Linked DNA regions of Arabidopsis thaliana. The protein of the gene in region 1 purifies or fractionates together with the protein of each later gene. This does not show direct contact. Each region holds a gene or a part of one and is shown on either strand. Other genes may lie near its edges.

Evidence for each region. The genes of interacting proteins can lie anywhere in the genome.
Region 2: the proteins of LFR (region 1) and THO7 fractionate together in Arabidopsis thaliana (co-fractionation; one large-scale study listed by BioGRID). This does not show direct contact.

The regions. Positions count from the first base shown.
Region 1 is NC_003074.8:8,162,277-8,166,852, reverse strand, and holds LFR (ARM repeat superfamily protein), read right to left. Parts: upstream 2,913-4,576; 5' UTR 2,839-2,912; coding exon 2,646-2,838; intron 2,549-2,645; coding exon 2,379-2,548; intron 2,296-2,378; coding exon 2,162-2,295; intron 2,065-2,161; coding exon 1,808-2,064; intron 1,609-1,807; coding exon 1,503-1,608; intron 1,410-1,502; coding exon 1,271-1,409; intron 1,180-1,270; coding exon 1,052-1,179; intron 964-1,051; coding exon 708-963; 3' UTR 503-707; downstream 1-502. Other genes in the region: AT3G22980 (Ribosomal protein S5/Elongation factor G/III/V family protein), read left to right, coding at 3,537-4,576. UniProt on the Arabidopsis thaliana protein: Involved in leaf and flower development. Plays roles in leaf development partly by associating with AS2 and repressing KNAT1/BP transcription. Required for the formation of anther cell layers and normal expression of genes that regulates anther development.
Region 2 is NC_003074.8:664,680-668,930, forward strand, and holds THO7 (Tho complex subunit 7/Mft1p), read right to left. Parts: upstream 2,244-4,251; 5' UTR 2,110-2,243; exon of another isoform or gene 1,918-2,109; intron 1,793-1,917; 5' UTR 1,761-1,792; coding exon 1,161-1,760; intron 1,063-1,160; coding exon 952-1,062; 3' UTR 544-951; downstream 1-543. Other genes in the region: AT3G02960 (Heavy metal transport/detoxification superfamily protein), read right to left, coding at 2,566-2,852, 2,945-3,038, 3,171-3,346, 3,675-3,849, 3,939-3,947. UniProt on the Arabidopsis thaliana protein: Acts as a component of the THO subcomplex of the TREX complex which is thought to couple mRNA transcription, processing and nuclear export.

The DNA of each region.
Region 1 (4,576 bases):
AAAGAAAGATTGCAATAACTTGATTTTAGAGTTTAGTTTTGAGATGAGTTGTCTCGAAATACAGGTATGTGTGTTTAAAGCAACGGTTATATATTCTTTCAACTCCATAATATACCAAAGAAGAAGGTTACTAAAATCTTCACGAAATTCAAGTTTAGCAAAATATATGTGGAATACGCAATTAACGTTTGTAGAAATGCTCTAGTTCGCGTTGTAGAAAGTTGTTGGTCACAATTTATGGGTTAATTAGGTGGTTAATGGTTATGGTTGTTCAAAATATAATTATGTTCTACTATACGAACCGAATCCAAATAAAAATGTATAACAAGAGAAAACGTCTCCTCGTCTACAAGAAAAGACACATTGATTTTGAAGAAAGAGTAATAATAACAAAAAATGTAAAGACAAAACACTGTATTATGTGTGACTTAATTCTTGTTAGTTTATTGTATAGTATATGAATATGATTAACCAATACACTATTCTAACGTCAAAACGTGATTATTTGGGTTATTTTATTTTCAATTTGAATCACAAAATATCTCAAATTTGTTTTTAGTAAAGATCAAACAAAACACATGTCGAAGCTATGCGAGAGAAGAATCCATCTACTTTTTGTTCAACAACACTGCTTTTTTAATACATAGCAAATGATTAAAGTTTACAACACAATCAATTAATCAAACCCACTAATCTAGAGAAGACTTTTACATGCCCCAGATTCCTCTAGCTGAAGCAACTCTGCTATTAGATCTAGCAGTGAGTTCATACAAAATCCTAGCAAATGAATCAGAATACTTACCCTCTTGAAAAAGCAGCTCAGCGAAAGCATTCTCATACGCGAGTAGCAATCCTCTGTTTTGAGGCTCCGAGACAAGGTTCTCAAGGATCATTGCAGCTTTCCTACATACTTCTGGAACCGGATGCGGAGTCTTTATCACTTTCAGCAACCTATCAACCGCCCTGAAAAAGATCATAATGGTGTGTCATTGTTGCGATCTAAAAACAGTTTGATTGTATTCGATAGAGAGGGAGTATAGTTTTTGTTTACCATCTCTCACTTGCTAGCTTTAATCTGCAATCCATGTTAACTTCCACGAGATTGTAGAGTGCTCCAACAGCTGCAGCTTGTGCATCAACGGCTTGTATGCTCAAAAGATCGATTAGTCGCTTGTGTATCTGCAAGGGATAGGTCCATTGTTGGGTTTAAATACTAGTTAAAACGAGTAAGTAGCCAGAAACCATATGAAGATTATAGAAGTTAACAAACCTGCGGAATTAAAGGACTAATGAAAGGTTCATTGTCCGGATTGATTATCAAACGCCCTAGCAACTCAGCAGCAGCACAATTCCAAGCTTTGACAGAAGAATTGAGGATTCCGACCACAGCTTGAACAGCTTTCTTTTCACTATATGCACAAGAGTAATGAATGATTCACATTGGTATTTGAAACAAGTTATGGATTGTGTAACTAAGAATGCAGGGAGATACAACTTCTCACTTTATGTTGATGTATGACTGCTTAAGCGAGCTGAAAATTCGAAGATCCATCAAATGCGCTAGGTTTACAATTGTCTCTAGCGAGTTTGTGACCAGCTCTTCATCCTCTGTTAACAAAAGATTGTCTTAAGACCATAGTTCCCAATCAAGTATCAAGCAAATAAGGAAACAGAGAGAATACATTCAAGCCAATTCAAACCAATAAGAAATAAGAATCTATCAGAAGCAAATGTAAGGAATTATAACTAGTAAAAGAAACAAAAAGGTTGGGATTGTATGTATCAAAACATTAGTATTCTTCCTTACCGGTCATATGATCGTGTATGCACTGGAAAACAGTTTCTAAGCAATGGCGATGCTGAGCCATTACAACTTCATTATCAGGCATGAAGGAGAAGTTGCGGATAACGTTCGATGCAGCAATAGCACACATTTGTTTCTCTGATCTCCCTTCATCGTCTAGATTAAACAAACCATCCTCTTCCATCCACCACTGAGATGACTGATGTTTACCAGTGCTCTTTTTTCCTAATGCCTCAGCAGCAGAAGAACCAATCCCGGATCTGCTAGGCCAAATATTAACAACACTTAGGTTCTAATTCTAAATATAAGCAACAATCATTTAAAACTGTAATCAAAGCAGTATCGAAATTAGCTCACCCAGGGGGTTGAATAGAGGCTAGAGCATCATACTCATTGCCAAATCCCGTAACTGAAGCATTTGTACCTAAAGTTCTAACTCTAGTTCCTCTTGTCAGGTCCTTTGGGAGAGCTATGTCACGCCAATCATCTATCTGCCAAAGTTTTAGCATCATGTTGGTTCAAAGAACAGAGAGGAAAACACAATCCCAACACCTAAACAATTAAATAAACTCACAATTAAGAGAAGGGCATCAAGCAAGCCAGCTATCTTAGCAAGAGGCATGACATCTCTTCGAATATCTTCTTTTTCCTTGAAGGAAAGCAACGTAAGTGTGTTCAATGCCCATGTCACCTCACTCTTCAAACCACTCTGCAACGCAAGAACTATTCTTCTATTGTTCTGCTCTATAAATTCCAATGATCCCAATGAAAATTACCGATTAAAAACTCGTTCACAAGAAGAAAACAGAGAGGAATTATAGAGTGGTCATTGCGAGCTTACCGACGAAGGAATTGTGAACTAGAAGAGAAGGACCAAGTAAAGCTGACGGTGACATCGCGTCCGCTGCTGCCGCCGCTGCAGCAGCAGCAGCTGAGTTAGCACTTGTACTACCGAAGGGACGGCCTCTCTTCGCTGGTGGACCCGAAGATCCACCGGAATTACCGCCGGATTTCCCAAGCTCCCGTTTCTGCATCTCTCTCTAATTTGGGGCTAAAGTTAGGGTTCGGAAATTTTGACCCGAAAGATTTATTCCGGTTTAAAAGTCCCAAGACGATTTAAAAATTAAAATTGTTTAAAGAGCACTAAACACTTTTTGTGAGTCAGAGGGTTTCGGTACAATTGAAATTAAAAACGTTTTAGACCGGTTTATTCCGGTTGAAGAGTCCGAGACTATAATTAAAATTGTTAAAAGAGAGCACTAAACCGTCTCTCTGGTTTACAGGGTTCCGGTTTAATTAAAATCAAAAACGTTCACGTCTTCTTGTATATGTTTATACAGACAAACTTGCAGAGGGAAATCGCCAAACCCTGCGCCGCCGTTGTTTCGCCGCCGAAGCAAGTTTCGCACCATTCTTCTTCAAACGTCTGAGCTCCATCAACTGATTAAGGTGATTTTTTTACATATCACTCAATTTTTGAATCGAACTTTTTAAAATATTATGGAATCTTCAAAGAGCATCTCTCTCGTTTTTATCTCTCTTTGATTCTTACGAGACGTGCACAACTCTGTGGATTCGATTCAAAAATTCGTGAGCTCTCACACAAGGTTTTAGGATTTGGATTATGTTTTGTTGAAGTTTTCTCTACTAATTTGAATCGCATCGATTCTGATAATGTAATCCTTGTATATATTGAATCTGCAGGTAGCTGTGTGTTTTGTAAATTGAAGAGATGGATGAATCTGAAGGTAGGAAAGTTAGGAACATATGTATACTAGCACATGTAGACCACGGTAAGACGACTCTCGCCGATCACCTAATTGCTTCTTCCGGTGGCGGTGTTCTTCACCCGAGACTTGCCGGGAAGCTTAGGTTCATGGACTATCTAGATGAAGAACAGAGACGTGCAATCACGATGAAGAGCTCTTCGATTTCTCTTAAATATAAAGACTATTCTTTGAACCTGATTGATTCTCCTGGTCATATGGATTTCTGTAGTGAAGTCTCAACAGCTGCTCGGTTAAGTGACGGTGCGTTGGTTTTGGTTGATGCTGTTGAGGGAGTTCATATTCAAACGCATGCTGTGTTGCGTCAAGCTTGGATAGAGAAGTTGACTCCTTGTTTGGTGCTTAATAAGATTGATAGGTTGATTTTTGAGTTGAGGTTGAGTCCTATGGAGGCGTATACTCGTTTGATTAGGATTGTTCATGAGGTTAACGGGATTGTGAGTGCGTATAAGTCAGAGAAGTATTTGTCGGATGTTGATTCTATACTTGCTAGTCCTTCAGGGGAGTTGTCTGCTGAGAGTCTTGAGTTGTTGGAGGATGATGAAGAAGTTACTTTTCAGCCTCAGAAAGGTAATGTAGTATTCGTGTGTGCTTTAGACGGGTGGGGTTTTGGGATTGCGGAGTTTGCTAATTTTTATGCCTCCAAGCTTGGAGCTAGTGCGACTGCGTTGCAGAAATCGTTATGGGGTCCTCGTTATTATATTCCTAAGACTAAGATGATAGTAGGGAAGAAGAATTTAAGTGCTGGAAGCAAGGCGAAACCAATGTTTGTGCAGTTTGTGCTTGAGCCTTTGTGGCAGGTTTATGAAGCTGCACTAGATCCTGGTGGGGATAAAGCCGTTCTTGAGAAAGTTATCAAATCTTTCAATTTGTCTATTCCACCACGCGAACTTCAGAACAAGGATCCAAAAAACGTGCTTCAATCGGTGATGAGCCGTTGGCTTCCTCTGTCTGATGCAGTCTTGTCTATGGCTGTGAAACATCT
Region 2 (4,251 bases), 7.5 Mb from region 1:
AAGATGCCACCTTCTTTTAATGGTAAGGTGGAATATTTTTGGAATATATTCGTATGTCTAATCTAAAGTATAACTTTAGTCTTTAGAGTCAAAGCAAAAAGATAACATTAGAATTTCTAGTGTAAATTAAACACTCAAAGTTAATTTTTAGTGTTTAAGATTAAGACAGGAGAGACTCAAGTAAAATAACGGAGAAACGTGTGTTAACATACGAACACTAATGCTGCTCAAATATTTCTCAAGAAAATAGAAACCTACAATTACGACAATAAAGCCTATTTGGCTAGTCGGTCGCATTATTATTTTTTATTAATAATTAAATATTGCCAAAAATCAACATTAAGCTTTGCTTGTGGATATCGATTTGCATGAAATATTCATTATGCAATCACACTTGTAAAAATTATTCTCGACACCGAAAATAGAAACCGCACCAACCAAAATTAGACTACATTTTTTTTTTTTGGGGGCAAATTAGACTACATCTAAAACACACAAAAACCTCAAATGCAAAACCATAAATATGATCGGGCAACCCAAACCTATCGAACCAAGTCAAAAGCGGAACACTGTTTAATTTCTAATTTCTAAGCCGGTTCAAAAGCAAACCCGTCACGACGTAATTAATTTATAGTAAACCACCTCGGTTTAATTGAATCAACAGTTCAGCCTCGGTTTGGAGTAAAAAAGTACATTACCAAGAAATTGGTATTTCTTAACCGGTTATACAAACCATAATTTCTTAAACATCTGCATTTTACAATGATACAATCTTTCTTGCATCTGCAAATTTGAAAGAAACAATCTTTGTTTCTCAGTTCTTCTATCCGAATCACAGGTTTCAGTATACTGAGCTGCCGCAGTTTTGGTTAACATAGGCATATCAGAAACAGGAAACAGATGACAAAGCAAACGCTTGAAACATGATGCAGGTTTTATCGAGATTTGGACTTAATCAACAGACATAGCGTCGGTTATGTTCCTCTGATCTTCCGACGCTGACCGAATCTCGTCCACCAAACTCTTCTGCTCATCTTCCATTGTGTTCTGCAACTCATCCACCTACATTCCCAAAAACGTTCACAATCACAAACTCAAACTTCAAACATAGATCACGTAATGAAGACTGAAACGTAAAAGGTTCGGTTTTTTGACATTACCACATGCATCAGGAGAGCAAACTGCTTCTTCCTTAGCTCAAGCAATCTCCAACTTGCAGTGCTCTCTGCTTCAAGCTCAGCAATCTCCTTGTTCAATTCATATATAACCTTCTCTGTCTCTGACCTTGGCGGTTGCGCAGAAATCAGTTTCCTTATCGTCTCACACTCTTCTTTATGCTGTCTATCTATTTTACTCTCCTCAAGCTGCTTCTTTAGATCTTCAATCTCAGCTTTCGCCTGCATTATCTGCCTTTCCGTCTCATCTTTCACCTCATTAAAGCTCTCTTTCTCCCTAAGGTTTGCTTCCACAACCGCTTGGCTCTTCAGAAGCGGAATCTCGAAAGTTGACAGTTCCTGTAAAAAAGCTTTGGCAAGTCTACCGCAGTCGTTATAGTTCTCTTCTTCTTTATCCACCTCGAGTACAAAAGAAGTGAACTTCTTCTGAAGTTTCTTCAATGGAGGCTCGCCTCGAGTGGTCGTGGTTCGGGTTAGAAGCCGGTTTCTTATGATTTTGTCATCGTCAACAGGATCAAATGCATAATTAACCTTAGTTACTACAGTCTCTAATCTACCAGAAATTCTCCTTGCTTTAACTGACATCTCAACTTACTTAAAAACCTCTTAATTCAATCCTGCAAAGGCAATGCACAAACAAAGAACATTCAACAACCAAACAATCTTAACCTACAGAAATAAAGCTAAGGGATACATATTCAAGCTTGGATCTAAATAGCAGAACTGAAACATAAAGTATTACCATTTACGCAATAAATCTCTCGATTTCTTATTCTCTTCTTCAATTTCTCAATCAAACTTAAATAGATTTTCATGAGCATTCATCATCAAAATCTTAACTGTTATTTCATTGATTCGTAAGCAATTTCTCAATCGTACCATTCGAACACAATTTATGGTACAAAAAAAAGCAAAAGGTTAACTCTTTACTTACTTGAAGTGACCCCAGATCCAGATTCGTCTTCTGCTATCAAAAATTGAGCAAAACAGGTCCCTTTTGTTCAAATTTTGATGAACCCTAAAAATTGAGACAATTCATCTTCGTCCTCCCTTGTCTTTTTCTTTTTGGGTTAAATGCAACAAGTACTCTCAACTTATATTATATTACAAAATAGACCCTAAGTTATTAAAATATAATATATACCCACATTCTTTTTTTTTATACTCTAATGCCCTGTTAATTTTTTTTTACAAATAATTGTACAAAAGGCCCACAACTACAAACATAATCTAGTAATCGAGTATACACATGACACCAAATCTTACTTTCATAAAGTGTCACTCAAAAATTAAATTAAATTAAAATCTATTGAGATATAGAAATGTGTAGCAAGGAAATCAAAACCATAAAAGATAACTTAAAAAGACTCTAATTTTACGGGTCAAAAAATCACATGATTGAACAAGAATGTACATTTTCGTCGCTAAAAATCTGAGAGGGATAAGCATGTTGAGATGAATACTGAGGAGGGTAACTAAAGATTTTGTTTCCATCACTTTCTTCCTTCTTATTATTGTTCTTCTTATTATTGTCTTTGCCTTTCTCTGTAATTTGACTTAGAAGCTCTGCATGTTTCCCAAGTTTTTTCTTGATTTTCTCCACAAGTTTTGGAGGATCCATGACTCCTCGTACCACTACCGTTGACTTTGACCGGTCTGGTTCCACCGATTGAATGCCTTTTAATTTGTCAAAACAAACAAACATATTCTAAGTTGTTTTTTTTAACTTTCGATATCGTATTATTTCTATATGTATATACAAAGATTACCTTTTATTTTTTCAATGCCTCTTTTGATTTCATGAACACATCCTTCACAGTGCATGTTCATTCTTAAAATTGCAGTTTTGATCTCGGGAGCACTCTAAAATCATGCAAAAAATATTTAGAAATGATTAGATATGTTAGTTGTTATTCTCAGATTAATTAGACAAGGTATGATATAAATGAGAGTATATATCTAAGTTCTAACACGAAATAATTGGAAATAACTTACTTCTTTCTTTTGCTGTGGCTCCTTCTGATCTTGTTTAGGGTTATGTTTTGGGGAAATCATCTCAGCATTTCTACTAAATTTCTTTTGCACTCTTCGTAATATCTTCAACGGATCATCAAATTTTCCAGACACAACAACTTTATTGTCTCCTATCTCTGTCTTAATATGCTCAACCCCTATAAGACAAATAAGATAATAGCTACTTATGAGTCATGAGTAAGAAGAAAAAAACGGTAATCCTATTTTTTAATTGATGCTTTAAGAACTAGAGATTACTATTCGTTATGTCATTGTGGGAATTAATAGACAACTTCTCTAGATTACAGGAAAGAAAAATAAAACTGAAACCAGACTAGATAATGCTTAAGTTAAATTATAGTACAATTTCACTCAATGATAAATGATTAAATATTTGACATTGATTCTTATGATCGAGACCATATATATATGATTCCATTAAAGAGGGAAAGTAATCTAATAATGTTTCTTTTAATAGAGTATTACCATCATAGCCCCTCAAGCAATGAGAAACTTGTGATGCACATCCTTCACAGTGCATGTAAACCTTCAGAACAATTTCTTTACATTGATTTTTCTTATCAGACTTATCGACTGATGAATCTCCATTTTTCTGGTTCTTCTTTTCAGACTTGTTGTCTGATTCTCCATTTTGCTTGTTCTTTAGAACCAAATCCAAAACACAAAATATAAGTTCACATAATTTACTTAACAAATTACTGGAATTACCAAAGACAGGAATGCACATACCTTTCCCATATCAATGTTTACTCCTTTGTACGACAAGTGCAATGAAAAAGTTGAATAGTGAGACTCGATATATATAAGGTCAGAGAGGTTTTACGATCAATTAATTATTTCATTTGTAACATACATAAAATTATTTACTTCTCAATCTGGATGATCCTATTTGTTTACAATGAATAATAATTCTAATATTCACTAACAGGATTGATGACAAAGAGACAAATAATTTTGTAACGATCATTAGTAAATTAAATTTCAATCGGGACTTGTGTAACTTCTTATTCAGTGTCCAAATAAGTACACTATTCATTATTCC